Coturnix japonica: one gene and its partners. The protein of the gene in region 1 purifies or fractionates together with the protein of each later gene. This does not show direct contact. Links are inferred from orthologs where the notes say so. Each region holds a gene or a part of one and is shown in the gene's direction. Other genes may lie near its edges. The genes, in order: WRAP73, SSX2IP, CEP135 and OBI1.

The links.
Region 2: the proteins of WRAP73 (region 1) and SSX2IP purify together in Homo sapiens (co-immunoprecipitation; 4 studies listed by BioGRID and IntAct, counting the BioPlex papers as one, with this or other methods). This does not show direct contact. The link is inferred for Coturnix japonica from reciprocal best matches to the Homo sapiens genes WRAP73 and SSX2IP.
Region 3: the proteins of WRAP73 (region 1) and CEP135 purify together in Homo sapiens (co-immunoprecipitation; 6 studies listed by BioGRID and IntAct, counting the BioPlex papers as one, with this or other methods). This does not show direct contact. The link is inferred for Coturnix japonica from reciprocal best matches to the Homo sapiens genes WRAP73 and CEP135.
Region 4: the proteins of WRAP73 (region 1) and OBI1 purify together in Homo sapiens (affinity purification with mass spectrometry; 3 studies listed by BioGRID and IntAct, counting the BioPlex papers as one, with this or other methods). This does not show direct contact. The link is inferred for Coturnix japonica from reciprocal best matches to the Homo sapiens genes WRAP73 and OBI1.

What each region holds. Positions count from the first base shown.
Region 1 is NC_029536.1:820,236-828,272, forward strand, and holds the end of WRAP73 (WD repeat-containing protein WRAP73), read left to right. Parts: intron 1-3,117; coding exon 3,118-3,190; intron 3,191-3,575; coding exon 3,576-3,679; intron 3,680-4,061; coding exon 4,062-4,148; intron 4,149-4,608; coding exon 4,609-4,743; intron 4,744-4,841; coding exon 4,842-4,919; intron 4,920-5,565; coding exon 5,566-5,671; intron 5,672-6,002; coding exon 6,003-6,128; intron 6,129-6,581; coding exon 6,582-6,773; intron 6,774-7,067; coding exon 7,068-7,177; 3' UTR 7,178-7,555; downstream 7,556-8,037.
Region 2 is NC_029523.1:14,422,516-14,429,263, forward strand, and holds the end of SSX2IP (afadin- and alpha-actinin-binding protein), read left to right. Parts: intron 1-612; coding exon 613-749; intron 750-1,172; coding exon 1,173-1,346; coding exon of another isoform or gene 1,347-1,365; intron 1,366-2,943; coding exon 2,944-3,055; intron 3,056-3,457; coding exon 3,458-3,575; intron 3,576-3,810; coding exon 3,811-3,892; 3' UTR 3,893-4,700; downstream 4,701-6,748. UniProt on the Homo sapiens protein: Belongs to an adhesion system, which plays a role in the organization of homotypic, interneuronal and heterotypic cell-cell adherens junctions (AJs).
Region 3 is NC_029519.1:58,569,754-58,577,790, reverse strand, and holds part of CEP135 (centrosomal protein of 135 kDa), read left to right. Parts: intron 1-398; coding exon 399-483; intron 484-1,316; coding exon 1,317-1,445; intron 1,446-3,091; coding exon 3,092-3,307; intron 3,308-3,875; coding exon 3,876-3,941; intron 3,942-4,679; coding exon 4,680-4,830; intron 4,831-5,451; coding exon 5,452-5,645; intron 5,646-6,087; coding exon 6,088-6,231; intron 6,232-6,791; coding exon 6,792-6,935; intron 6,936-7,494; coding exon 7,495-7,572; intron 7,573-7,735; coding exon 7,736-7,887; intron 7,888-8,037. UniProt on the Homo sapiens protein: Centrosomal microtubule-binding protein involved in centriole biogenesis. Acts as a scaffolding protein during early centriole biogenesis.
Region 4 is NC_029516.1:137,633,571-137,641,607, forward strand, and holds part of OBI1 (ORC ubiquitin ligase 1), read left to right. Parts: intron 1-2,351; coding exon 2,352-2,443; intron 2,444-4,101; coding exon 4,102-4,350; intron 4,351-7,371; coding exon 7,372-7,460; intron 7,461-8,037. UniProt on the Homo sapiens protein: E3 ubiquitin ligase essential for DNA replication origin activation during S phase.

The sequences.
Region 1 (8,037 bases):
AGCTTTGTCAGACAGCTGCCTGGGTTATGCCGGTGTCTGAGTTGTGTTTGCTCTATAGCGTGCTAAATCCATAGTCTGGTGAGACAGGCGTTAGCAGTGCTTGGGACAGAAACTCAAGATACTTAATATTGGTGTGTTATGAACTTCAGGGATTGCCTGGGGGGCTTATGGTTCCCTGTCAACTGGTGCAGTTTGGCTTTGGTAGCTTGATGTTTTCATACAGCACCAACTAATTACTCGTGCTTGTAATTCTTCAAGTTAACATATGAGCTCCTTTGTAAGCTTACAAGTTGCTTTAATTTCTACTAGAGACTTCCTTAAGCATATGGTTATACTAATTTATTTCTAGCAGTCTATGCTTACTAGTACAACAGAGAACATATTCAATGGCCAATTTTAATGACATCTTTACATTTTTACATCACAGACATGTAGAGTTTAAACAAGAGCTGCAGGTAAAAGATACAGAGAAAGCAAATGGAACTTATTCCAGACTTAGAAGCTTTGTGATGGATGGCTGGAGATCATCAGGGTAGTTCTGGAGTGTCTCTCTTTAGACCTATTCTTTGAGATCTTGTGTATTGTACTTTCTCTAGTTCCACTTTAGTACTGAAGCATTAAGAAGCTTCCTTAGAGCTATAGTAGGAGAAAGAAATGTGTGTGTTTCTGTGTATATTGGAGCTAATCCTTAGTAACTGGAAATGGCCACGTTGGTTGAAAAATGCTTTCTGTCGAGGAATGCACTCTGAATAATCTTCTGAAATCCGGTGCTGACAGACACTGCTATGTAAGGAGGCTTTGTGACCCAGTCAAGTCTGGGACAAAAGTTGACAGTCATTTGAGATGCCAGGTTGTTTAAAAGTGTGTTTTTATCTATTGAAAATCACCAGTCTCACACCTGCCTATAGCTGTCAACATTGGACGTAGTCCTGAACCCAGCACTGGAGACTGTTTATCACGTTACCATCTAAATGCTTTTTTTTTTTTTCTCAGCTGTTTTTAGGCTATTTTAAAAATGCTGCTGCTTTTGCTTTGGGTTTTTTTTTTCCACTGCAAAACAACAGCTGAAAACTTCTCAGCCACCATTATTGTTAGGATTTGGGTTTGACAACTCCAGTTTCTCTAGCAACTTATAGTGAAGAAAAAGTACCCTCAGAATGGGCAGTAAGAAATGCCTGCCGTGAGCATTTGCTTTTGTGAGTTTCTAATATCAGTCCCAGAGTTTTTAGGTTGTGTTGTGTGACTTGGACAGGAGGCTGCAATAAAGTTATAGCAGAACTTCCATGTGGTCTTTAACTTAGTTGATGATGAGCCTCAGGTAATGCAGAGGTAACAGTAAGAGCCCTGTGTGCCCTGTGCTGCTTCTCACTGAGAGATTCCCCTCTTCCTGAGCACCCCAGCAATAAGGTTTTGCCTTCTCTGACACTTGGAGCCAGCCTATATGGTCTGGGGTGGTGGTGTATATGACATGCAGCAGGCCAGGTGAGTTGACTGGGGCCAAGTGGTAACACAAGTGTGAACTTGGATGCCTTTGTCAGGAAAAATTACAATCCAGACCTCAGCATTCAAAGCTTGCAGCTGCTAAGCTCGTATTAAGTGGCTGTAGAATGTACATTGTGTGTGCTGCTTGTTTTGGTCAAGGGAAGAACAGCAGCGAGTACATTTAACACTGCAATTAATAGGAGCAAGCAGCATATCACTATTGCAGTTGCTGTAGAAGAATGTGAGTAGGCATTGTGTTGGTATTTTTAAAGTAAATCTTGCATGAAGAGCAGGCTAACAATGCTGTATTTTTGTATGTCCGGAAGTGAGCAGTTGCAGTGATAAAACTTGATTAATGGTGTTCATCTTGCAGATTCCATTGGGATCCCTTAAACTTTAAGGTGGTACTATAGATGTCTAGCTGTAATTTCATAGCTGTTAAATAAAGGAAGAGATAATAAAGGCTGCATTAAACAGTGGTCCAATTGTGCTTTTTTAATCTTTGGACATAAGAAGGCTGGGATTTGATGTGGTCACTGCTCTTTCCTGTTGCATTTTAAAACAGCTGTTTTGTGTGATCTCTTCAAGTCTCATAAGTTTCTTAAATATATATTAAAATTAGTGAAGAGAACAGTGATGCTCTTTTGCTTCTGTTCCTCACATTGCTATAGAGAGGCAGCATTAGGAATGTGTAGCTTGGTTGGAATACAATGTCAATTAATGACATGGAAAGCATGATTCATGTCAGCAATAAAAAGTCTCTGAGTTCTGCTGCAGGGCACAGGCTCCAGTGTTAACAGAACAAACACAAGATGCTTCCTTGGGGTCATTTCTCACTTCTGAATTGTACCAATTGCTTCAGAGAAAGGAAAATGTGAATTGAGGCCAAACACAAGCAAAAGAGCAGCAGAAACTTTTACCCACCGCTGCTGGTAATTGATCTGCATTGGATGCAGGTGGGTGATTGAATGGTAGATGGTGCTAAAGTTTTACTTATGTAGTGAGTCAGAACTAATTGTGTCATTCAGAAGTCTTGGGAAAGATGGTTTTTATGTCCACGGATCTTAATAGCAACAATAGTTTTACCTGCGTCTTATCTAGAATCTCTTACCTTGGTGCAATAAAAACATAGGAAAACATGGGATGAAAAACATACCCCGGAAACATTCCTTGCTCCAGATATAAATGCAAAGGTTCACATGACATACTGATTAATGCACATATGTCTGGTGTGGCTGCCGTTGCTAAGGGAGAGTAAGTATTTGTTTTTAATTGAATAATCTGCAGATGGCAACACAGAGCTTCCAGAATGCAGGCTGTGACCTTGACGAGCTGTGGAGGGGCTTGTTTTGCAGCTGACTGCCTTCTTTGCAGTTTTCATGTTCTGGGGGTACACAAGTCTCCAGAAATACCGCAGATATGGTGTTTAATGCTTTGCTTTTGCTTGTCTGTAATATGAATTCCTTCCAGATTTTCTTACAGCTTTGTGCTATGCAGAATAACTGCAAAACTTAATTAAACCGTACACTGATAGTACTTTGCATTATTAAGCTAGGTTTTGGGGGAGGGTTATGTACTAACCTTTTTTTAATCTACAAAAATAAGCAAATACTTTGTCTTTCTCTCTCTTAACAGCTGCGGATAACTGTGTGGTCCTTATGTACCAAATCTGTGTCTTACATCAAGTATCCCAAAGCTTGTCAGCAGGGTAAGTGTCACCAGTTTCCCACAGGAATGGGATTGAACACAGGGATGTTTCACCATGATGGGTAACTAGGTGCCACATGCTGCGTGTGCTGTCCTAGGATCTGAGTTCTCAGCCCTTGCACTGAACTCTCACCACTTTATGTGCCTGTTCTGCATGTCTTTCCGTTGTGCTGCCTCTCTCATGGGTCCTGTAAGGTGTAAAGCTGGAAGTGTTGGTGATGAGAAGCACAAATCCAGAGTGCCTACTCATCATCAGGATGGGGGCTGACACTTGGGAGTTGATGGGATACCAGTAGCTGTGTGCAGCTACACAAAATTAACTGTTTCATCTGTCTTGTTATTGGTTTTGCCTTGTTCTCTTACTTACCTTTCTGTCCCTCTGGAAGGAATAGCTTTCACCAAGGATGGCCGCTATATGGCAGTAGCAGAAAGACGTGACTGCAAAGACTTCGTCAGCCTCTTTGTGTGCAGTAACTGGCAGCTGCTGAGGGTAAGATGTGTCTCTGCTTTCCTCTGCTTCTGTATAGGCTACAAGCATCAGCTGCACACTGCTTTAAACACCATCACTTTGCTACTCTGGTTTTAGACTTGCCAGTGTGTTTTTTAGCCTAACTCCTTTGCTGGCCTGTAGCATCATTCCATAGCAGAGGGATTCTGTTCAGGAAGCTGTATATACTATGTGTAAAGAAAAAAAAACAACAACCCCTCATATAAGCTATTATCACTAAGGAATAGTTCTTAAACTGTACACTTCTATGCTGGCTTATGAAAGACTTATGTTTATGGTAGCATTTGGAAGGGTGAAGTGAGGACTGCATGTAATATTTGTTAGTGTAATGCTTCAAATGACATTTTTCTCTTTCTGGGGACAGCATTTTGACACTGAAACTCAAGATCTGTTTGGGATTGAGTGGGCTCCCAATGGCTGCGTTCTGGCAGTGTGGGATACATGTCTTGAGGTAGGAGGAGGAAGATGAGTTTAGAGTTTAAATTGTTCTTTTTACAGCTGCTATGTATGAAGCAATAACTAAAATAAAATGTGGTGTTATTTTGCAAGCAAATATAAGATCAGCTGAACTCCAAGGAAACGTGTCAGAATATTACACCTGTGTAGGTAATGAGCTTCCTAACAAGTATGTGTCAAACTTATGTAGGCCCTTAATGACAATAAAAAAGCTTATTAACATCTAGCTTATATAAAAATATATTTGTAGTTTTAATTGTAAACACTGTGGAAGCTGCTATTCAGATAAATGAGGAAATAATTGTTCTCTAAGATGTTTCTTCAGTGTTACTTGATATTGCATGAGAATTTAAGTAGTGACTAAAATGTTTGTTAGGAATATGTCAATGTTATCTTTTGTGCAAAGTGTTTTCTGATGGCTGTGGATTTATGGGCAATTAATCAATTTGTTTCAGTACAAACTATTGCTGTACTCCCTTGATGGCAGTCTGCTGTCCACGTATCAGGCTTATGAATGGTCATTAGGCATAAAGTCCATTGCCTGGAGTCCCAGCAGTCAATTTTTGGCAATTGGCAGCTATGATGAAAAGGTAAGAAATAGAGAAGAGGAAAAATAAACCTAGCCTATCTAAATCATTTGCAGAATTGTGTCATAACCACTCTGTCTTGCAATATCTTCTTGAATTAGGTGCGTATATTGAACCATGTAACTTGGAAAAAGATCACAGAGTTTGAACACCCAGCAACTGTTACTAATGCAAAGACTGTAAGTATGAATCGTTATCAGCACTTTTGTGTGGCTGTTTGTTTCCAAAGATGTTAATAAATCCATTTCATCCTGGAAGCTTTTCTATTTTTCCCCCTTCTAGACTCACATACATGCCAGTGTATTTCACTGTAGGTGCTGATTGCTTACAGATTTGGATCAATGATCCATTGATTGCACCTCAGCAGAACTTCTCTTAATTGAGAAATGGCCTTTCTTTCCTGTGAAGTTTAGAACATGTAATGAAGACAAATGGAAGTAACTCTGCTAGTCTCTACTATGCAGACAGGAATTCCAGTTGGCATTCTATGTTTCCGTTATTCCATTTATTGCACTGCCAGATGTAGACTTTAGGAATATTGAATGAGTTGGACTCATTCTTCATGGACTTCAAGGTTCATTTATCTGCTGGAAGAGTTTTCTTGATCGTGGCTCCAATATGCAAACAATTCAATGAGGATGCAGGATTCAGTATTTGCCTGCTTGAAGCCTCTCTCCTTCACTGATAACTTGGGGGTGCTGAGATGTAATACACCTGAAAATATGGTGTAAATCACTTGAGTTAGTGGGATGAGAATGATTTATTAATAGCCCAAGCTCAAACTCTTCTAGGCCCTTCTTAGAGCTGTCACTTATTTCTTTGTAGATTGTGTATAAAGAAGTGGAGAAATCCCCATCTGTTGAAACAGAGAGATTTTCTTTCCCTCCGACAAGAGCATTGGCTAGTTCTGTCTTCAGCACACAAAGTAAATGTAAGCCAAGGTTTAGTAAAGTAAGACACTTGAGCTTGCCATCTTGAAGTCTTTCTATAAATAAATGTTATGTGAATGCTGATGTTGGAATGGATCCTCTGGGTGCTCTGCTCAATTCTCCTGAGTTAACTGAAGAGCTCCAGGGCAGTAAGGACCCTGCTGGAGAGGATGCTGTCTGTGCTCTGAAGGCATGTTGAAGATGAGTGGGTTGAATAAAAGAATAAGAAAAGAAAGAGAAGAATAAAATGCTTCTCTTTGTTTTTAACAGCTAGAATTGAATGCTTTGTCCATTCAGGCTTGCTCAGTAAAATCCTTCTATTCTCAATTCCAGATGACGTTTCCCAGATACCAGTCTCTTTCCAGTACATCAAACCTGTTGCTGATAGGGCTAATCCCAAAATGGGGATTGGGATGCTGGCATTCAGTCCAGATAACTGTTTCCTGGCAACCAAAAATGGTAAGTTCCTTCTGTTTTCTGTTAAAGGAGAAACCTTTTTGTTCTATGTGCATTACCCTGGGTTTGGCTTTATATTTAATAACAGTAACCTGCTCTTTAATTTCTCCACATTTGAAGCCACTGTATTGGAAAATGAAGTGCCCAGCTCCTTCCTGCTCCACTTCCAGCATGTGTCTCTTGGAAGGCAGAGTTCTTCACAGCCTGTTGTTGTGGGGCTTCTGATTAACACAGATGGTCATGGGATTAACACTCAGGTTTTCCCTTTGACAGGCCTGAGGGCTGTTTATGTCTGGATGCAAAAGTTGTGCTTCAGAAGTAGAGCCCATTAACAGCAGCACAACTGTGAATAGTTCAGTAAGAAACAGTGGAGGAAGACAAACTGAGTACTTCTAAAGAGGCCACGAGGCCTGTTTTTTCCTTCAGGTATTCAAATGATTTCTTCTTTACTTTCAGATAACATTCCTAATGCTGTGTGGATCTGGGACATTCAAAAACTGAAACTGTCTGTAGTGTTAGAGCAGCTGTGTGCCATCCAGTCCTTCCAATGGGATCCACGACAACCTCGACTTGCTGTATGTACAGGAAATAGCAAAGTCTACCTATGGTCCCCAGCTGGATGTGTGACAGTACAAGTTCCAACAGAAGGTAAAGCTTTCTACAATGTCCTCTGCAAGCCATCATCAGCTTTTTATTTCCACTTATAATAGTGCTTGTGCCAAATTAAGTTAATGTTTAAGCTGTGGCTTACAGCTTCTCAAAGACAGGCCTTTCCATCCTTCAGAAGATTGCAGATTATATGGTCTCAATTGTACTGTTTCTGCTAAAGTAGATGTAAAATCCCTGTTTTAGAGCTGTGTGGGGGGGTATTTTTTGCAGTGCATGTGGCTTACCTAGGAAAAGTTGCTTGGAATAAGGAGATGCTTCTTGCTATTTCTGCAGGTGACTTCCAGATTGTTTCTCTCTGCTGGCATCCTAGTGGAGATTCCATGGTGCTTCTGAGTAAGGATAACTTTTGTGTGTGTTACTTAGAAAGAGAAGAAGTGAAATAACTATTGATCGCATTAAAATGCTCACGGATCTGAGGAAGAATGAGGAAAGGGGTCAAACCCCAACCTGAAGCGTTTCAGTTTGTAAGTTATTTATTTGAAGGAGCACAATCCAGCTCCAGTCCATAAAGTGCTGTGAGTGAATCTGAATGATGTTGCATCTCAAGTGTGGGAAAACAAAGGCTGGATTTTAAGGAGCCTTCAGTTTTGATGTAATTCAACAGATTCTGGCAACTGTGGAGTGGTTTGGTTTTTTTTTTCCTAACATTGTAGCTGAATGTACATAATGTATAGATATTATTTAAATTTGATAATTTCCAATAAATATTTTGATATTACAAACTTAGTATGATTCTAACTAAAAAAAAATGCTATTAATATCAGCTTCAGGCTCTGCAGATGAATGAAGAGTAAGTTGGGGATGTTTAATGTTATTGAAAGGCAACAATGAAGCAGATAACCTTAGAAAAGGCCTTGAGAGGTGAGTGCAGCTTGTTGCGTTCCACTGTTATTTCAGCTTTGTGTAAGTTTCAGAAACACACCTGGAGCTCAGAAAAGCTTCTGCAGCACAGAATTTATTCAGCATCGTAGCTGTGCAGATGAATATTCCCATAAAACCACGTGTATAGAAGAGCACAGATAATGATGAAGCTTGTTACAGTAACCTCATGAGCACTTCTGGTTACAGCATCTCCCCCCTGCTTCTGAGATTCAGTACTGGAGGTTTGTATGAGGTTAAATGTAAGAATGTATAAGTCAGGATTGACATACACTGCTCAAAGCTCTGTCCCTGGTAGGAGGTTCCACGCTGCTGCTCTGAACTAGAGTGGATTTAAGGAAATGGCTATGAATACAAATAGGGT
Region 2 (6,748 bases), on another chromosome or scaffold:
GTTTGTTGTTTTTTTTTTTTGGGCAACACTGTTGCGGCACAGATTTGTGATTTACCTGAATAAATGTTGCAGCATTTGAGGCACGGACTCAGATGTGAACGATCCAAATCGTTTATTACAAGTTCTCACATCCCTTATATTACCTTCACAAGTTATTTTTCTAACTTTCCCGTCTGCCCTTACAACTTTCCCAACCACCTTTACATGTCAACAAAGCATTCTACAAAACACTTTTCAACTGTCCATGCAGGCACGTATCCAATCAGAGCTGTGAGACCCTTCTTCTCCTTGCAGAGGTGTCCTTGGTTCTCATGCTGTTTATCTTGCTCCACAGCTGCTGCTCTGAACAGCTTTTCTTGTATTCCCACAAAATGTGAAATCTGAGGTGACGTTGTAATGTTCAGCTCAGGATAAATGGCAGTAGCTCTTAATTACGAGTGTAGTACCAATTCTGGATTGCTTGTCGTGATAATAGGAATTTTGAGTGCATGATGAATGTGTCTTTTGGAATTAAACTATTACAGTTTAACAATCTTTGTTATTGCTTTGAGTTTTAAGTGTTGTGATGTATTGTTTTTAAGTAACCTTTTTCCCTTTTTTCTTCTCCCTTAGTGTCACGTGTGCATTCAGGAGCCTTGAATGATAAAGATGTAATTTCAAGGGAAGACCATGAGCTGGAAACTGAAAAACTAGAGTTAGAAATTCAGCAATGTAAAGAAATGATCAAAACTCAGCAGCAGCTTTTACAGGTAGCAGGCTTTTTGTTATTTTCAAGACCAAATCTGTGAATTATTATTTTTTTTTAATGTCACTTATCACTCACTTCTGAGTTTTTCTCCTTTTTTTTTTCTTTTTTTTTTTTTTTTTTTGACAGTGCTTTTTAAATAGGATATCTCTGTGGTTGGTTTAAGTGATCTGTTCAGTTGATTAGTAATGTAATGAGTTTGTAATCCTGGTAGGAAAATTTCTGGGGGTTAATTGACATGAGGACGGTTGATAAGGCCAGCTGCATGAACAGAGGTGATTTGCTGGCTGCTTGAAACTCTGCCCCTACCACCTGTGTTTTTTGCTTATTAAACTTCAACTGTTTTTTTGATGAAATTGAATCTGTGGAAAGTCTAAACAACTGAACAGTCATTCCAAAATTATTATTTCTGTATTTATATCTACAGCAACAGCTTATGTCTCCATGTGATGATGACACCACTCTGTTACTACAGGACTGCTATTTGCTGGAAGATAGAGAGCGTCTTCAGGAAGAATGGAGGCTATTTCAAGAGCAAAAAAAGAACTTTGAGAAGGAACGAAGAAGTTTTACAGAAGCTGCTATTAGATTAGGACTAGAGGTACTAGAAAAGTGGAAAGGTATTAGAAAAGGAACTGCTATGGAAGAGAGTACAAGAATAACTCTTAATACACACTAAAAACTTCCTAGTATACATTGTCTGTTTGCTTATACCTCTATTCAGAGAGCTTGTTCTTGCACTTTGTAAAACATAGCTTTGGTCAATGCAGCAGATCATTCAGCTGGCACTTAAAACAAACAAAACAACAGACACCTAATTTCTCGTGTATATTGGAATGGGTTTGCTGCAACTGGGATGAATTATTTTTCTTGCAGCTTTGGAAATATCTAGGTACTTCTGAAAGATCTGTCTGCTTATTCATTAAATCTTGATTAGAGGCTGTTTCAGTGTAGCTCCCTAAGACAGCCGGGCTTATGCAAATCACTGTCAGATTTGGCTGCAGTATTGAATTCTCAAAGATTCTTGATTTCTAAATTTTCGTGGAAACCAGTTTTGCAGAAAGCCAAAATATATCTTTGCTTCAGTAGGGCCATTTCATGTTCTTGTAGTTGAGCTGGCCAGTAAACAGACTTATACTGGGAGGGAATTGGGGTGGGTATTTCTCTAAGCGTGCTGCTCTAGCACATCTTTTTGTCTGGCCAGCAGTTAGGATCAAAACATGAAGACAACTACAAATTTAGCAGGGAGGAACATGAAAGGTCAAGATCATAGAATATTTTGAGTTTTACTTGAGACATTGGTACAACAGTAGTTCAGAACACTGACAAATACTGATTCAGGCCACTATATATATGATCATGCATTCTTCAATCTTTTTCATTCTATTTTCCTTGCATTTTAGTGAATTCTTAGATTTAATATGTAATCTTGAAGTTTTGTCCTGAAATATTTTAGACCATTTTACAACATAAACGTAGTTACCTGTGCTTCTGAATGTTAGAATACTGAAATTTGAAAGGAGAAATGAAAAAGTAGAAGCAATACTGCAAGCCTTCTTATTTTATGTGATGGGAGCACTCTGTTTCACTGATGTTTTTTGGAGTTAGGATAGCTTGTCTCTTGATTCTACATCCCATGCATCTTTTTGAAGGTTTTTTTTTTAGCCAGAATTTTCTACTTTTGCGCGCATAGAGTGATTGGAAAAGGAAACACCACCTTTCTTCTGCTCAGTCTTTTTTAGTGGAAGGAAGTGATCAGTGCTATTTTCAATGTTGCTTGTATTTGTTTATGAGAAAGCTGAGGACTAAGACGGAAGCAGGAATCCTTATGAGCAACTGCCCAGAAAATAGAAGCATCTCCACAAGGTAGTGCCGCACTGTGGGGACAGGGGGAGCACAAGAGACAGTGGTAGGAGATTGTGTCACTGTAGTGGAGAACAGTAAAGTGAAAGGATTATTCAGACCTCTCCAAAAAACCTTGGGGTTTGGCTTGTAAATAAATACCTCCTCAGCTAATCCTTGTTGGAATGAAAAGCTTGCTTACATGACTGTAACTCTTTGTTAAACTTCTGAATTGCCTTAGTTGCATGGGTATTCTGTAACTTTTGAAGTCTTTTATAGTATGGAATAGCATCAATTTAACGTAGACTAAGCTTGTTTCTGTGGTCGTAACTGTAAATAGTCATTTATTTTCCTAGAGAAAAGCATTTGAAGAAGATAGAGGAGCGTGGTTGAAGCAACAGTTCTTAAGTATGTGTACTGATTACAAGCACTCTGAAAATGTGACAACTCCAAGTGCCTTAATAGAAAGCAAGTATTCAAATTATATTACTGTAATTTGCTTTTTCCACCTTTTACCTATAAGATTAAGATATAATTCATTTCCATAGTGGGGAAAAAATTGTCTTTTTAGGAACAGATCATTTGCCTTGTTACCTTGAAGAATGACTTGATTCTAATGATCTGTGAGCAACTTATTTAAGACTGTATACTAAAGCTTTTGAAGTTATAATTATCTTTTTTCATCTTCTGGTGTTTCTGGCTGTATTTATTATTACAGTCATGCAGTAGGGTGGGAGGAAGGTGCTTGCTGTGCTTGGGTGTTTGTTTGGTTTTTTTTTGTCCATTGTTTTTGATAGAAGACTTAAAATTTAAGCCTTCAAATGTTTTCAATTGTAAAGTGAGCTAACTGATTATATGTATGCCTTCCAGCTCCTGACCAAGACAATCGTCTGAGCTCAATGTCTCAGCAAAGAAAACCTCACTGTATGCTGAGTGGTCCTGTTTCAGCTGAATCCTGCCAGACTTCTCAGTATATTTCACATAACAGGTATCTCAAATGATGTTGTAGATGTTTCTTGTGGTTTATTTGTTTGTTTTTCATAGTGCTGAACTCTATTTAGAGCAGTGATGAAATTGTGATAATGTACCAAAAGATCTAATCTAGGTCTTATGATTGATATGTAGAAGAATAAAACATCACAACAGTATTGTTGTTCTCTCTTGAAGCGTAATTAGTAACTGAATGTGCAGTTACTTACGCTGTTACTTTATCTTTTTACCAGTTTCAATGCTGCATTAAAAAAACCTGCTGGAGACAGTAAGCCAAATCAGTGGGAGGAAAGTGACAAGGAAGAAATTGAGTAATGCAGTCACAGGAAGACTCTGAAGATGGTACTCTGCTATGTAGAAACTTGCACATAGATCAACTGCCTTAGACTTCCTAGGGTTTCCTGCTGTTTTGTTAGAGTTATTCATAAACTTCTAAAGTGTAACAGGATGCTGTGAGTTTGAATATTCTTCTGAAGGGTTATGTGGTAAGCTGAGCTGTGATGTGTATGTGTGTGCACATGGCTTTTAATTTTTTTTAGGCCATTTCTTGCCTCTTTTTCTTGCAACTCTTGAAAGATGCTTATTTAAAAGTATATTAAAGCTTTGATATTTTTCTAGTAATGGAAGCTGCGGTTCTGTGAATGAAGCTATGGTCTGAAACTTTGGCTGTAATGAAATATTGGATCCTAATGTTTCTTTTCATCACAGACAGATAGCACTTTTGGGAATGGTTTAATTATTAGAAACACTCATCTTGAGAAACATCTCAAGTGTAACTGGCATTAAAACTTCTTTTGCCTCAACTTGAATGTACAGTATACTGTAGATTTTTAATGAAACAAGTTCTATATTTATTAATTTGTGTGATTTGAAAATACCTCTTTGATATTTCAGATGAGCTAAAGCACGAAATCTTTATATATTTGTAAATAGACAAAATGATTATGTTGAGAAATCATGAAATGAAATGCATACATCCATAATATTATTTTACATGGTATTTGAAATTGTTTTATAGTGATACTCTGTTTACAGATGCATTAGGACTTTCAGTGGTTCAGCCAGGAATAAAATTATTTCAAATGTAAAAAAATAAATGTGTAAGTCTGTTTTAAGAAACTGATTCTGTGATTTGTGACTGCTAGTTTTTTAATTATTGTGGTTGTAGGGCCAGGGTTCATTGTCTGATGCTAGTTTTGTTTTCATCTTAGTGGGCTCCAGAATTCTTGGTGTAGCCTTAGGGAAATCTTTGTTCATAACTTTCTAAAAATACCCATGTATGGATGAGAAGTTTCAAAGTCTCCTTCACCTGAGTCAATTCATGTACTTTTTCTGCATGAGTAACCAGACAGGGAAAACAATACAAGTATAATCATATTATATTTCTTTCTAAAAAGGCTATATTAAAATGTATTTCTCCAGTTCCCTCTCAATAAATAAGTTCTGCTGAGCTTATGCCGTCCCCATGATACTGTAAAGAACTTGCATAAATATTAGTTATGAAAGAGTAAAAACCTATATCTAAAATTATGCTCAAAGACATAAGCTGAAGAATTTAATATACATGTTGACAACAGCATGAAGTTGTGTAAGGACAGGCACAGGCTGAGTATTAGGAGAAGGTCCCACACCAGAAAGGGAGTTGGGTACTGGAATGGGCTCCCCAAGGCACTGGTCATAATATCAACTGCTGGAGTTCAAGTAGTATTTGGACAACATTCTCAGGCAACATTTGCGTCTTGGTAGTCCTGTGAGGAGCCAGGAGATGGGCTCAATCCCTGTGGATCTTTTCCAACTCAGGATTTTCTGTGATTTGAAGTGGGAGAACAGTAATTTACATGCAAGGTTCTTATCTTGAAACTAATTTACTCAAGATCTGTAAATCCGTAGTTGATCAGGATGCCACTAGGGGCTGCTGCTGTTCTGAAGAGATTGTTCTCTGATGTTTTCTGAGGGCACTTAAACATGTTCTTGTTGGATACCTTAATTGGACTATTTTATTAAGCAATTTTTCATGAACACTTTTAGAATAATGATGACTTTGAAGAGCAAAATAATGTATTATTTAATTTGTTGTACCTATTGAATGATTAGGAACCTAATTATGTTGTATGCGCTTTAGTTTAAACTCTGTGACCCATATCATAGAAGCAGAAATTTAATTGAATGTTTATATGGAAGAATCAACTGTGCTAAAAATATGTATGCAGTTGAGTCCTGAGCAAGGCTCATGGGCCTGGGTACAGGGTCAGTTCCCTCTCTGTAAAGAAGGAGAGCACTGCCTGGAGTTTCTGGGTTACTCTGTGCAGTGATTGATGAGAAAGCTTCTAAATGTGCAGCTGCTGCTAATGATGGTGTGAACATTGCAGGTGGCGTGGTTGGTAGTATGGTGATGTTGTTTCCACCATGGTGAAGAATTAGAACTTCTGGAGCTTACTTAATCAGAGACTGTTGGGAGCAGTCTCCTCCTCTGCTCCTCATGAATGCCATGCAGGTGTGTTACTGCACAGAGATGTCTATCTGAGATAAAAGGGCAAGTGGCATACTTAAGAGGGAGTGCTAGTGAAAATGACATACACAGTACACCTGTGTGTGATACTGAAAAGATGCATGGTTCTTTTACACCCTCTGTCTTTAAATATAACGTGCTTTGTGTGCTGTTATCTGGGCTTCTTTTTCAGTCTACATTATGGGAATGTGTTTCTATCATAAATTCAAGTTTAATTGGGTAGGAGAAATTATTTTCCAGGTTTACTTTACCTTTGTTAAGCTTTTCATTTATTTTCTGTCTTTGAGAATGGTACAAAATAGCTTTTACAGACTGCGTAACAAAAAAATCAATAATCGAAAGCTTTACTTAGGAATTTGTTCCCTACAAAACAGCCCTCTTCCACATTTGTAGCGCTGCTTCCAGTAGCTGCTGCAGGTTTCCTCTGCACAGATGCAGCAGGACAAATACATTCCTACATGTGTGGAAAGAACTCAGACCATATTCTTGCTCTTCTCAGAAGTTCTTGTGTATGTAATTCAAATGGGCCAAGGAAACTAACTGAAATCTCCAAATAATACCACTTTAAACGGGTTATTTTTGAATGGAAAATAAATATTTCCAGGACAAGGAGAATGCTGTGTGTGTTGAATTCTACTTACTTGTGTGTTATTTTTTTATTT
Region 3 (8,037 bases), on another chromosome or scaffold:
CGCAAGTTAGGGAAGTTGGCTGTGGGGGGAAACTTCTTGAGGACAGGAGGCAGAATAGTAGGGAATGTAGGTGAGGTTGAACCTAGGAGATGGAGGTACGTAGATGATGATCCTGGTTTGTCTTTGTTTCTTATCATCCTACTCAATTGCTAACAAATTAATCTTCCTCAAGTAGAGATGGAGTGAGAGAATGAATGAGGGTCTGACAGCCAGGCAAGACTGGCCTGCCACAGTATCTCAAACAATAGCACCTATATTATTATTTTGTATCAGCAAAACAGTTTGCTTTTTGATGAAATATTTCCATTCAGGAGCAAAGAAAAAATAACAGTATTCAATTTTTGTGCATGGATGGCTCATTCATGAATCTACATAAACAGTATATTGCTACATTTCAGAATACAAGAACTTCAGTCAGAAGTAACAAGGTTACAGGAAAAACTAGAGATATCAGAAAATGGAAAGAAAAATTACAGCAAGCAGGTATATTTACATTTATTTGACTATTTTGTTTTCTTTTTTTGTATTCATTGTTTGTAATAGCCTTGATTATAATTTTATTATGCAACCATTGTAGTTGTTATAAAGTACAATTATTCTTTCTTTCCTCTACACTGTTTTGAATTTGTAGCTTTGGAGGCAGCAGCAGTATTGGAATGCTTCCCCACCTCCTTTGCCTATGGATTTTTCTACTTAAAAGTTGCGTTAAATAAACTGTAGTTAATGATTATAAGCTCAATTTTTTTGTACATCTAGGGTTTTTTTTAGTGTAGAAATATCCATGGGTTAGAATTAATTAGATCAACAGGTACATTAGGATATTTTTTTATTATTTGGACTGGTTATATTTCATTTTAATTTCTCAGAGGTTAATTCATGGACAGCGGATTTTACAGCTCTTTAATTAGATTATATCAAAAAGATGATATTATATGTATAAATGAGGGAATTGCCTCAGGTGTTTGTGTCTTGTTTATCTTTCAGTATCTAAGGAGTAGTGGATCCAACCCCAATTTCTTTTTTTCAGTTACATGTTGGTGAATTAAATCCTTTGGTTTCTCTCCAAGAAAAGAATCTTTTAGGACTTGTTCCGGTTTGTTGGTTTTGGTTTTCTCCCATGAATGTTATTTGTTCAGTTTTATTTCAGAGAAATCACTTTGTTCAGAAAAATGCAGAATTCATAAAAACCTGAGTACTAAATAAAAAAATTTATTTGCTAGAGACATCTCTTCTAACTGAGCATTACATAGGAGCATATCAGAACAAAGGTACTGTTAAATGCTTTAGAAGATGATAAAGGTTTTGTTTCTTCAAAGGTTGAGCTTAGAGACAAAGAAATAGAACGCCTAATGATAGCATTGGATGGTGGTCGTTCTCATGAAGTTATAGCTCTGGAATCAAGAAGTAAAAGCAATGAGAAACTTATTGCCCAATTAAATTCACAGGTAATGAATTAATTGCTGTTGATAAGTTAAAATGAAAAATACTAGCAACTAACAATCACAAACAACTTCTAGATCTTCTTCAAAAAAGAAAATTCAGTATTAGATAAAATCAACAAATTTAACTGACTCGCTTTTTAGGTGGTAGACTTTCTTGTCTAAAGAAATTCCTTGTTTTAAAAGCCTGTTTTTTTTTTTGTGAAGAATTTAATGTACACACCTCTGTGTATAATAACCTGAGGGTATTCAGGAAATTTCTGAATGATACACTGTTTTGTCTGAGTTTGAAATTACTTTGATTTACAGTGTATATGTGTACATTCCATTTACGTCTTTGCAGCTAACTCCTGTATATGTACTTATCAAGAGGTCTGCAGGTAATCTCATCAGATAGTGGGAAATCCTCTTAATTCTAATGGTCCTCACCTTTATTTCCAACATAGACTTGCAAGAAAATAATAAGGTTAGGATGTTTGTGTTTAATGTGTGTGTTAGCATACATGTGTTACTGGTCTCAGATTGAAAATTTCTGAATCTAAGGTAGTCTGGAGTACAGATGAAGTCTGTCTCTGGATTTATACCATGTATTTACCATTTGGGTACTGCTTGTATGTGATATACAAGGTCAGAGAGAGCCAGGCTACAGAGCTCGTTTGCTCAGGTTCAGTGATGCAAAAATATGGTATGAGCTATGACTTGAAAGCAGTACTGCTGTTTTCAATGATCCTGAATTAGTAAGTTGTGCTGAAGATACACTGATTATGCAGAGTGAGCCCAGGCACCTATGCTATATTTTCAGCACTGCATAAAGCAGGTTTTGAGCTATCAAGGCTATTTATTTAGGCTTAGTGCTGATCTTCTACTTTTAATCTCTGATAGTAAATGGATTGGTGCTGTATAGTAGCATTTAGGACCATGAAAAGACTCAGACTATCTTCCATGCCTAGAACCAAACTTCTTTCTGGAGGAAAGTTATGTGGACAAGGAAGTGCAACATCTGTTAGGTTGAGATATTTCAGGCTCCCATTTCCCCATGTAGTGTAATTTATATATTTTTTAACTAACTTGCACGGAGTAGCATAATGGGAAAAACAATGTCTCTAATGCAGGATTTCTAGAATGTGGTGTTTAAGATGCTGACATGTTGAAAGCAAGGTTGGCATTACGATGTGATCTGTAAAGCTTCCTTTTCTGTGGAAGAGTTAATAGTGAATCCAAGCCTAGCAAATGTACTGGATAGATAGATAGATAGGAGGAACTGTCTTCGGAACTGTCTTCAGCTCTTGTGAAGTCTGGGGAAGCATTGAGTGCATTGGGTTTACTAGACTGATGCCCAAGGCAGGTTTCTATAAAGCTATCTACTTTTCACTGCTTTGTTTACAGGATAAATGTTGAATTTTTGAGCCCATATAAAGAGCAATGCAGTAATTAATTTTTTCCACCATGCACACTTGTAAAACAAGTGAAGTTGTAAAACTTTGCATGTTGATATGTATTTTTTTCTAAGAACAGAAAGTCTAGCCATTATTAACAGGATATCACTTTTAATATAGAGATGTAGAGATAGCATATACTTCTTCCTAATCTTCTAAACTATACTATCTAGTTAAATAATATGTATTAATGTTTTAATAAAAAATATCTTTTAGGTTGAATATCTTCAGCAGTCAAACAAAGAACTTGAAAATCGCATTCAAGACCTCATGGACACAAAAAAAAATGTGACTAGTGAAGTAGTGCACTTAAGCAATAAAAATGAGGAACTCTGTCAAGAACTGAATGAAATAGACCATTTGGCCCAGCAATTGGAAAGACATAAGGAAATTGTGCTTGAAACTGCAGATAAAGAAATAGAAGAAGCAAAGGTAATCACTAGGGTTTTATGAGTTGGATCATCTAAGCTGTTAGATGAAATTTCTCTAATTTGCCTTAATTTTGGCTTTTTTAGCTGCAACAGGAATACCTCAAGGAAGACTGAAAATATTTTGTTCTGATTTAGTGGTATATGGAATTTCTCACTAAAAGATTAATCACAGCAGTTTTGTCTTATTTCTGTGTTAGGTGAGGTTAATTCAGTAAAGAGGCAGTCTGCCTTCTTTCTGTTACCTCAGTATGAAACAAAATTCAGAGCTACTCTAAAACTATAGATAAGTAATAGATGTTTGCAACAGTGAGGAGTGTATGGATAGTTTTTTTATGAGGTGTCACGGTGTGACTCAATTAGTTGTTTTGTTCAAAATGAGTGTTTATGGTTAAAGTGTTATGTGCATTCAATTAATAGGAACTTTAATGAATCTGTGAACCTAAAATTTTGCAGTTTGCAAGGAACTGATTATAATTTGTTTCTTAAATAAAACCTATTTCCTTAAGTTTTATAACAGAGGAATTGTTTTGAACATGGACCTTTAAAATTAAAGTTTGTTTTGTTGACAGAAAGAAATTGAAAGAAAAGACAGTGAAATACAGGATCTTGAAGAAACCGTAACGAGGCTTAAATCAGTAAGTGAAGTTCTTCCAGTTTAAATCTTCTTTGTAGTATTTTTTTCATACTGTCATTCACGTCTCTTTCATTAATAAAAATCAGCAGTGCTTCTTTATTATTTAAAAATTAAACTTGTATCTCCAAATTTTATCAAACTAATGTAATACATGTAAGAGCTGAAGAAGCTACATGATGTTGTTGCAAAAATAAGCTGAAAGAAATCTCTGCAGGCAGCAGGCTTTACTATCCTTACTATGCATTTTGTTATTATTTTTGCTATTGGAAGTTGTAACTGCCATAACACGATCATTTTTACTAACATTTAATGATTATATCCAAAGAGGTTTTAATATAGGATTTACTCTGTCTCTTAGTATATGAACAATTACACGTTACTTTCCTAGTCAGAAACAAAGCTTAATAGCCCAAATGAAAGACGACATCCTGAAAGATCTGTTTTCAGTGTGTAAGAAGTTGTGTACTAGTTGCATGCAAGGTTTGGGGTTTTTTTTTTTTAAAGTATTTCTAATGAAATTGAAAACATGAAAATATTTTCAGAGCACCAAATTATAGGAAATATTAAATGCCATTTGGCATGTTAGCTGCAGGATTGAGTTGATGTTACGTAAAACATCAGGGTTGTTTAAAAGTAGGCAGTGTTGAATATTAGAAGCTTAACAAAATGTTAGGTAACTAATTTTTCTCCACGTGTCTCTATTGGCACTTCTAAATTTTTGTAATATTTGTTATTTCAGGAATTGTGCTCATGTCGTCAACAGAACGAGAGATTGAGTGAAGAACTCTTTGGAAAAGAAAATGATGAAGAGAATCTTGAATTACTGCTAAATCAGCTTGAACAAGAGAAACAGAGGCTGACAGAAAAAACAGAGAACTTTGAAATAAAAGGTAAATGGTTAAATGCAGATTCCTGCAAATTATCTTCCTTAAATTTTTTAAATAGAGTGTCTTCTAGGTTATGAGAGACTAAAAATACTAATAAATAAACAAAAAAAAAAGTCTGTAGGTCTTCAGTCATTGTTTAAGTGAAATTTTTATCTCAAAAGCATGTTTGAAAGTTCAGCTTTTCCCATGGGGCATCCTAATAGTAATAAGGCAATTTCTTACAAAGTAATTTCTTTTATCCCAAGCTGTTTTCATTCTGTCTTTCTGAGTGAGTGACTTCAGAATGTTTCTTAAGACCTTTCTGTAGCAGTTTATCATTCTTGTTTCTTGTAAAAACTGGGTACGGTATTGTAAATGTGACCTAATGAACCATAAGTAAAAGGAAATAATCATATCCTTCAGTCTGCATCTCCACTGATGCAGTTCACTCTACTGCTAGGCCTCAACTGGTTCCAAAGCACGCTACTGATTCATGTCTAGGCAATAGTGAACCAGGACCCCTGTCTCATTTTCAGCAGATCCCGTGCCTAGCCAGTTGCTGGATGTTAGTCCATTCCTAATGCAAATGTCTCTGATTAAATTGTTATGGTTCCTTTGCAGTTGTTTTTATTTTTCTTTCTGCAGAACGAGAACTTGTCCTAGAAATAGAAAGAATGAGATTAGAATACGGTATAGCTCTAGGAGACAAATCTCCATCTCGTCTAGATGCATTTGTCAAAACATTAGAAGATGACAGAGATTATTATAAAAGAGAATTAGATTATCTTCAGAAAATGATAAAACGAAGACCTAGCCCAAGTCGTAGGACTCCAGAGAAGGTAACATTCCTATTGTCAATATAGGCTGGAAAAATTATAGAGTAACTGTGAAGGAGCTATCAAATATATTTTCAGTAGCAATAAAAGTTTTTTACTTTTTTAGACTGCATTCTTAGCCTAGAAAATTAACTGAGAATAACTTTTTGTTTCCCTGTTTTCATTTTACAGTAACATGGATTTATATAGTGATCAATTTGTGTAAAATAAATAGAATTAGATTCTAAAGAAACAAAGTTTGAAATAGTATTGTTAGCTGGTTTGCTTTTTCTGTTTAACAGTTTGTTCTCATGGTTAAATTTTACTAGTAATGCCATGTTTCTTGGAATTAAAATGTCTTAAGTGTGTTTTTCATACATTCCTAATCATGTGGGTTCTTTCTTGTAATACTTAAGTATCCTATTATTATTATGTTTTAATTTCAGTTTTATTAATCACTTTGCAGAGTGAAGACCTGAGACTGATCACTAGAGAAAGAGATGAGCTACAGTCCATGTTAGACAGATTTGAAAAGCATATGATAGAAATTCAATCCAATGTCAAGCTATTGACTGCGGAAAAAGACAGATTAAGTATTCTTTATGAGCAGGTAAGAAGGTCTTCATAATTGGCATTGAAACATCCAATTCAAACTTACTTTACTGTTGCTTGCTCAAAACAAAGCAGCTCCACATTATAATAGAAATTGAGGAGTTTAGACCTACGAGAAAATATGAAGAATAATAAAATATATACTTACATATTCTTATTTTTTTAAACTTGATAATAAAATTGCATGTTCTAACATTCATGTATTAACTTCAGAGTCATTTTAACATTCTACTGGTGTTTGGAAATGAGAAGGATCAGGGAAAAATGAAAAGGAAGCATGTGAAAGTTGGGTAGAGATACAGGCTAGGTAGAAGTTGTAACTAAATTATGAGAAAACCAAGTGAAGTTAGTCTATACTTGAAATGACAGAAGGATTCCAAGTATGTTGGCAGTAGAAGTTGTGCTCCTGTGTGATTTAAAATGTGTTTTAGTTATCTAGGGAAAAATAGTCCTATATAATAGCACTTCTATTGTGATAACAGCATTGGAACTTTGTGTCATTGTATACATTGTATTAATTGTAATCCACATATACTAACAACTAAAAGCTTTTTAAAGTCTCAGAGTGAATTAAACAGGCTGAGAATGGAAGCAAAACATCATTTGGTTTCTCAAAGTCATGTGGGAGAAGATGGAGATGTTGCACTGGCAGACTTTAGAAGACTGATGGCAGAAAAGGAAAGTCTGAGAGAAAAGTTAAAGGTGAGACTATTTTAGCTGCATTGCTTACAGTGAGAAAAGGCTTTTAAATTATACCATGTTTATGTCTGACTGTCAATCAGTTCCACTTTTCAATACCTTATAAACCTGTCTGATTTCAAATTCATTTAGCAGAACTGGATGAGTTGTCTGAATTGTCCTAGTAAACTCAGATCCTAGCTAGAGTGGCAGTAGAGAAAAGGGGTTGAAGCATCAGAGGGCAACTTATGGAATTACTTTGTGTGTAGAGTCTAGATATCACAGAATATTTTTGTGTATGCGCTGCTTTGAGTATGGTTTTTCTGTCACAAAACTATATGTGCTACATCCTTGTGACCTTCCTATTGCCCTGTATCTCTGTAATGTTTCTGCAACAACTGGCAAATATTAATTAAATTGAAACCAAACATGAATTTGAATTGTAATTAAACAAACTCTGAATTTATTGTTTTCAAAATCTCGTGCGTGTGTATATAACTGCAGTGGTGTATTTTCAGCTATTCAGTTATGTTTAGTGAAAATCTACATCTTATTACAATGTAAACCGGTGCTTTTATCTCAGATTCAGCAAGAAGCGGCTAACCTTGAAAAATCAAAGATGCAGCATGATATTTCAGTACTGGAAAATAACATTCAACAAGTAAGTTCATTTTTAATAAACAAGTTTTTATTCTAGAATTGGATAGTTGTTTTTTTTTTCTTTTTTTTCAGCAATTTTTTTCAGCTCTTTGTAACTTAGATTTACTTAAAAGCCAAGTTGTGATAGTTTTCTTCAACAATACCATCTTTTTTTTTAATTGCAGTTTGAGTTGGAAAGGTGTGAACTGAAGAGTACAATCTCTATCCTGAAAGAAAGAATCAAGTCTTTGGAAAATGAATTAAAATTAAAGTCCAATAAACTTATCCAGACATCTGATGATTCTTCTCAAATTAAAGCTGAACTTTGCTCACTTCAGTAAGTCTAATACAAAATACAGTCGCCTTTCAGTGACAGTACCATAATTTTACTCTACAATGTGGTCTTAGGAAGGACCTTGAGATAGTTGGAAAAAAAAAAAAATCACTTCATACTGTTTTTATCTTTGGGATATGTAGATATGAATAA
Region 4 (8,037 bases), on another chromosome or scaffold:
TGGTTTTTTATTCTGTACTTTTCTTCCTTTCTGTACTGTTTTTGGCTAGGATACAGTTCTGTTTCTTCCTAGGAGCTGATGTAGTGCAGCGTTGTTGATTTAGGAAGAGAATGATACTGATAACATACCGATGTTTTAGTTGTTGCTGAATAGTACTTATACTAAATCAAAGACTTTTCAACTTCTTGTGCTGCCTCAACTGTGAGAATCTGGGAGTGCACAGAGATCTGAGAGAGAAAAGAGCCAGGACAGCTGACCTAAACTGGCTAAAGGGATATCCCATACCGTGTGACATTATACTGAATGATAAAACTAGGGTTGCCCCAGGCAGGGTTTGCCTCAGAACTGGCTGGACTTCAGTCAGTGGATGGCGAGCAGTCGTGTTGTCCATATTTTTTTTTAATATATATTCTTATTATATATTTATTACTGATGTTACCAGTATTTTCTCTTCCTTTTCTGTCCTGTATAACAATCTTTACTTCAATCTGCAGGTTTTATTTTTTTTTTCCTCATTCTCTCTCCCATTCCACTGAGAGTTGAAGAGTGGGTGAACAGCTGCATGGTGCTGAGCTGCCTGATGGGTTAAGCTACAACAGTCCCTTTGGTGGCCAGCATGGGGCTCAGAGGGTTGAGATATCAATAGATCTGACTGGAGCATGTAAACACATATTTGTCACAATATTTATTTTCCTGATCTTCAAGTTCACCTTACTTGCTGTATATTAAAGTTATCATTTTGCTGTACTGTATAATACTGGCCTGTACTCTGATAAAATTACCTGTGGTGAGACTAATCTGGGTTTTGTAGTCAGCATTGCTGTCATTTCTGTATTTTGGGAGCCATCTTTCAGAAACTGTTAACAGTTAACACTCTTTACCCCTCAGTGAGCCAATCTATAGTGGAGGTAAGAGGGACACTTTCCTCTGTTCCTTCACCCTCTCTAACCCCTGCAGCAGGTCATATAGCTGAACTGGATAACCAACCCATATAAATATCAGTTATGCCTGTAGACAAGGCAAAACAATGGATGATAAAGTCAGCTCATTTAGCAAGGAAATAACTTCCTACCAAGAAGAGGAAAGAGGAGGAAGTGGATAAGACAGACTACTGTGAAGCAGATCCATCATAAGAACAGGAGGAGGAAGAGGCAGAGGTTATAAATGAGACAAGAACCACCCAATGCCTATCCCTATGTGAGTTATGTGAAAAGATTTCAGCTGTCATCAAGGTGAGCACATTGTCACCTGTCTGCTTTGAGGCTGGGATAATTGGGCCAGGAGTCTAGATTTAGTGGGCTACGAAGCCAGGCATCTGGAATGCTTCTCTAGGGAAGGGAACATTGACAAAACAATTGGAAAAGGGGAACAGACCCTAATACTCTGGAAGTGACTCAGCACTTTAAGAAAGATTACTCCAAGATTCCCATTCATCAGCTGATTCATCAGCAGGAGAGCCAAGCAGTCGCAAGCCAGACTTGCTCCCCCGTCAGTAGTCCCATATGGGCATTGCAGAAGTCCAGTGGAGTGTGGGGGCTGACTGGATTATCGTGGCCTGAGTGAAGTCATGCCACTGCTGAGTGCTGGTGTACCATACATGTTAGAACTACTATATGAACTGGAGTCAAATGCAGCCAAGTGGTATGCCACAACTGATATTGCCAGTGTGTTTTTCTCAGTCCCTTTGGCAGTAGAGTGCAGGCCCCAGTTTGCTTTTTCTTGGAGGAGCACCCAGTACACCTGCAATCTACTGTCAATGGGATGGAAATGCAGCCCTACCGTTTGTCACAGGCTGATCCAGGCTGCTCTGGAACAGGGGGAACTCTATTTAGGGTGTGTCTGAGCATCAGTCAGGAAGTGGAGAACAAGTGCATTGTGCATCATTTGCTTTCTTTGTTCTTTTATCACTGTTATTATCCCTTCTTTTTCTGTCATGTTAAACTCTTTGTCTCAAACCATGAGTCTTACCTTTTTTTTTTGGGTTCTCTGACCCAGTGGGAGAAGTAAACAAGCACCAGTGTGTGGTGTTTAAGATGCTTTCTGGTTAAACCACAATGCCCTCCCTTATATTTGTTTTAACAGTGTGGTCTTAAATAAGGCATGAATCTGTCAAGGGTAATTCAAAGTTGAAAAAATTCAAATGTTGTCTTCCTGCTGTGAGACAGGATTTTGTCTTCTAAACATCACTAATAGATTCTGTCTAAGCTGTTTTAAAAATGTAAGGTTGTAGTTTCCCATGCTAGTAGATTGATCCAATATTAGCTTTATTTGTAGCTGACAATATGAAATGCATTGCAAGGTGGATTGCTAGTAATAATAATGGTGGGTTTTTTTCTTCTGTGTTGCTTTAGGAGGAACGAGTGAAAGTGATCCTACATTTAGTCCAGCAGTTAGAAAGCACCTACGTAAAACAAGGCTTGAATTGCTCCACAAAGAATATGAGGTAAGCACACAGGAGCATTGTGACTTCCCAGATGAACTGCGACTGTTAAATTACTGTATGCAACTGGTTCTCCTGCATTGAGTCCTGGTGTTTTTAATTTGAGCAGTGCTGTATCTACATGAAACTCAGATGCATTAAAGCAACACTTTCTAGCTTAGGCTAGGGGAGAGTGTTTGTTGGCAGCTGGGTAGATCCTGCAGTGTTACAGTGATATTCTGTCTAAGCAAGAGGTAGCCAACTACAGGCAGAGGCTGTGGAAATTCAATCCCATGGTAGTATGCATTTCTTTTATGCGTATTGGATGTTGGGTACTAACATTTTCTGAATGATTCCCTGTTGCTTATGGAATCTGAATTTCTTTTTAAAGAATAAACGCTCCTGGAGTATTCTGGTGTAGGTGAACTTCATTATTGTTGCTTTATTGTGTTTTGTGAGAGTGGATGAATGCTCGGAAGTTTTTCTACTCTCTGACTGGAAAAATAAGAACAAGGTTAAGAGGCATATAAGGAATATATATATATATATAATATATATAAGGAATATGCTTAGTTTATCTTCTCAGTTATTGTTTCCTTACTAGCAGCAGTGTGAAGACTTAGCACATTTTTCAAGGAAACCTTTCTCATAGCAAGGAGGATGAGAGAAAGGAAATGGACACCATGTGTATCCTTAATGTGGGGGAAGTCTTTATGACAAGTTGGCCTGGAACTCAGCTTCTTTCATAGAGGAGTCACAAAAAAGGAGTTTCCTTTGTTTCTTTTAAGTCAACTCCAGAATCACACAAATGGACATAAAATAACATAAACCTCTTTCAAAAAAAATAGAATCTATTTTTAAATGGTTGTGAGGTTTTTTATTGTTTGAGATTTGTTTATTGGGTGGGTTTGGTTTTGTGGGGTTTTTTTTTTGGGGGGGGGGGGGAAGAGGTGTGGAAGAGGATGGTAGAGGTTGATTATTTGTGCAGATATATCCTGAATCTACATAAATGCTATAATATGACCTCTTTTAGTAATCTTAACGTGAGCAATGCAAGTATTAAGTTGGAAAAGAGTAAAGAAGACATTTTCAGGATAAATTACATACTTTTTATCCCTTTAACAGTAGGCTTTTGCTTCTCTGTGGCTTCAGATTGTTACAGCTAATAGCTTTGTTCTTTGTTTTGCAGTCTTTCCTTAAATATTTCTACTCCTGTGCAGCTGGAGCAGCCTCTTCCAGGCAGTGTTCTGTCCATTTTAAATCTCAAGACTTTCAGCATCTGAACATGTAATGTTTCAGAGTGGCTCTCTCATCTTGTTCTCAAATAACAGCAAATGAGTCAGCAGAGGATGACCTTAAGAACTCTCTTTGTACAGGAAATCCTCCCACAGAGCGCCCTAATAATAGATTAATGTTGCTGAATGCTTCGAAGCTTTTGGACTGACCATCGGTTCATTCAGGGTCCTTTATATAGTCAAGGGATTCCCTTTGCTGAAACCTTCCCTATGCCTGAGTGTGCAAATTGATTAAAATCCTGCCTGGAGCACCACACATAAGCGTACTTAGTTTCATGAGTGAAGGCATGCATCTGGGCTTGCTGAAGAACCAATGGTTCATTAGTGCTGTGGAAACTTGCCATCATTATTTAATTAATCTCTCCTGTGAATTTCTGACACCTTTAGGATGAAATAGAATCCCTGCAAAAAGAAGTGGAGGAACTGAGAGACAGAAATCTCAATTTACAGACACAACTGAAATCTCTTCTGGATCCTACAGTACCAGCTTTGTGTTGCCAAAATGAAGAAACTAGCCAATCAGCAGATGAAGCAAGTACCAGTGGCCCAGAAACCCCAGAAGAATGGAGCAAAAAGCTGAAAGCTGCCAATGATATATGTGAAAAAGTGATAGATAACGTAGAAAAGTTAAAGGAGGTAAAAAATACATTTCTTCATCCATCTTGAAGTACAGTTTTCATGTTAGTTGAAGGGGTGAGAGCTGGCATGACCTCTGGGTGCTTCATAGATCCAGGAAAAAACAGGGAAAAAATTGGATTCCAGTGGCTGTTGATGCATCATAGTATTTCCATACAGCATTTGCAAGTGTCAGATACTATTGCTTGTTTTAGTGAGCCTTACATGTGGCTCTTCCTAAGCTCTTCTGTCACTCTGTGACTGGATAATTGGATTATAGCAGTGCTTGTCACCAGTATTGATGGCCAGATTTTTCAGGCTTGCAATAATCTATATAATATATCTATTTTACAACATTCAGTGGCCAAAACACAGTACAGTTGGCTGAGGCGGATTTTGCACTATTGCCCTCCTAGCGAGCCAATATTTTTGGTGCAATTTGCTGAGACAGAGTAACTTGACCTGTTGACCAAAAATAGACAAGCTTCAGCATTTTATAACCAGAGCATCCTTCACTGGAAGCCTGCAGCTTTTTCTTGCAAAAATAAATAAATAAATTCAAGAACTGTTTTTTTCTTTTCTAAGAATTAGTAGCTTCAAACTCAGAGGTGCGCATTATGCCATTCTGTCATTGTTATGTTAGTTGTCAGTGTTAATGGAACACTCCTAGATGTGTATCTTCATAATCTAAAGGAAATTCTAGTCCTGACTAAAACAGATAAAATTTTTGAAACACTTAAATGTGACCAAAAAGTAAACTTGAGTTTCCAAGATGAGCTTTTTGAATAGTTTAGCTAGGTTTGGACTTCAGCTTTACAAGGCAGAGACACAGCTGGCCTTCTGAGAGGGGATACTTCAGAAGCTTGAGAGTAATTTCTAACTTGCTAAAGGGTATTGCCTGCAAAGAGTTCTCTGTTTTTCTTCCTTAGCATTAAAATGTAATGTCTCTTTTCTGTGGTGACAGAGGTTTATAACTCCTTTTCACAGATGAGATAAAATTAGAATGTAGCAGAGACTGGGGAAGGAAAGGTGGTTTGTTTTGATTTGTTTTTTTCCTGCAATATAACTTCAGCCTTAGCAATGAAAGATTTTTATGGAGTTTCTGATTTTGGTTAAGGATTAGATACAAATAGTGGCTTAGATGGGTTTTAGGGACCAAGTCCAAACCTCCAATGCAGTCACTTTCTTTCAGTCTGTTTCATGTAGAGCAGCTGCTCAGTTCTGGAAATATATAAAATCACTTGGCTCTTTTTAGACCACATTTGACCTGTGAAATAAGAGTGCACTGACCAAGCCCAGTCTGAACAGCAGAGACCTCTTTCCCACATAAAATCAGTCTGGAGCCAGAACCTTCCTTATTCCCTAAAATACCTGACACAGGAGCTTCAAACGTGCATCTCTTCTCAAGTGAGACAGGGTCCCTCAAAACATACTGCTGCTGTCATTCTCTAAACCAGACTGAGGGTGGAAATGAGTCACCATTATCCTTCAGTGTCCTAGGACAGAGGCTCCCGGAGTACGCACTAACTTTGAAAAGAGTCATAGCAAATCTGAAAGTACTGACACCAGCACTGTGGTAGAAATACTAGATGAAGCACATGCACTAATGACGAGGTTATGTGAATTCATAAATTTAGATGCTACTGCATGTAGATATGCCTTGCAGATTACAGGCTTGGAGGTTAGAGCAGCCTCTAGAAGAAGGAGACTGGGGAGGTTCAGTTCTGCCATGTGTCAGCAGATCCCTATGTAGCAACTTCATGCAAGTTGTTCACCTCCTATTTGACTTTGTGGTTGGGAGAACTGTGTCCCTGCAAAGAGAGAAAGGTCTTGGCCTTGATATAAAATGGTTTGATGCTCTTATTCATTACCTTCTGGATAGCTTTTTGTTTTCTTAGTTTTTTTAATGTGCAGTAAAGGGATTGACGTACTAATACCAAAGCTTTGGGCTCACCCTTCCTTCTATACAATAAATCTGTGGGGTTTTTTGTTTTTTCCTCTCTGAATATTGTAGGATTTTTTTTTGAGTTTTGTTTAGTTAATTCCCCTTCATTCCTTCCCCAACATCCCACACTACCTTAGTCTTACCTGAGAAGGTTTCTGGGAATATTTGTATGAGCGTTTAGAGCTTTTTGTCTCTCTTGTGCTGTTTGATGCTTCCAACAAAGGATACTTCATTCATGAACCTGTTTTCTTAGCCCCTTCTTCAGGTCTAACTTGAGATTGTACTTCAAGTATTCAGTGGAAAGCATTCTCTGAGTGAGGCCATGAGTTACAAGTCCTGGATTGGTGCAGTTCTCTACATACAGAGATTGAGTAGGCTATTAAGTTCAAAGAGTTCTTTCTACTTGTTAGTATGGCGGCAATCATTGTTCTGAAACACAGCAGCAGGAAAGTTCTTTCTATGAAGTACCTTGTTAACAAGAGCGTTGTCTGAACTGAGAAGAAGGATTTGACCTCAATTCGAGGAGCAGAAGAGTTGTGAATCAAGAGTCTTAATCATAAGGTCTTGGAAGAAAGTAAAGAAAAACTGCAAATAGCTTGTCATAATGGATTTACATCCACAGGATAACTACTTGAAAAACAAAAAGCCAAAACAAAAAAACAAAAAAAAAAAACAAAGTAATCTTAATCTAATTTGGGATGGAGGAAGCTGTTCAACATTAGTTTTGCTGATACCTGCACATTGTAATGTTAATGTACTTAACGTATTTAGTCATGTGGAAAAAAAACATGGAATTGCCATTAGTACATCTCCTTAATGACTTTCTGTACTAACTAACATAGCTGTGTTTATTTCCCTAGATAGGACACTTGCAGTGTATTTTGGGAATATAAATTAAAAATGTCTGTTCGCTATTCAGTTTTGCAAGCCATTTCCCATGATGATTTTTAAGTGGTGTCCCTGTCTAAAGGCTGTTTCCTGCTTTCACATTTCTAGTTCTGTCTCTTTAAAAAAAAGCAGAAACAGCTTGTCCTATAAATATTAGAAGTCATTTCTGTTTTATTGTATACTTATTGTTTTCCTTTTCTTTTCCTTAGGCAAATAAGAAACTGAGCATGGAGAACAATAGCCTTTTAAGAGAGAATTTGCGACTAAAAGCTGAAGTTGATAGTAGATCACCCCAAAAGTATGTGAATATTTTAAAAGCTGCTATATTTTATTTATAGACTCTTTAACTGTTGTACGACTTGAACCTAAAACTCTGATGGTGTACATAGCATTACATATGTGTCACAAGGCAGACTTTAGAGTTTTCATCCTCATAGACTTGGGTGACAAATGCAACTTACAGAATAACAGCAAGTCTGCTGTAAAGGAATATGTGCTGACCACAAATGGTGTTGTTCTGTTTTATCTGTCTCGTACTGGAGAACTGGAGCTATTACTTTAATCCTACAGTTAACTTATTTTTTGTTACTAAGAAATCTCATTTAAATCTTCCATCTTTTTTTTTTAAAGTAGATTTGCTCCTGTGAGCCAAGATTCTGCTTGTTTGTATTTGGTTGGTTTGAGGGTTTTTTTCTTCTTTTTGTTGCCTTCAAAATGTGTTGTATGAACTTAGGCTGGTCATTCAAGGAATGTTCCTGACAGCCTTCATCTGAGCAAGATGCATAGAATCAGGCTTCTGCAGCATAAGAGCGTCATTCCCACAGCTGATGTCTGCTTGATATTCCTGAGCAGTTAAACATCAGTGATGACCTCAA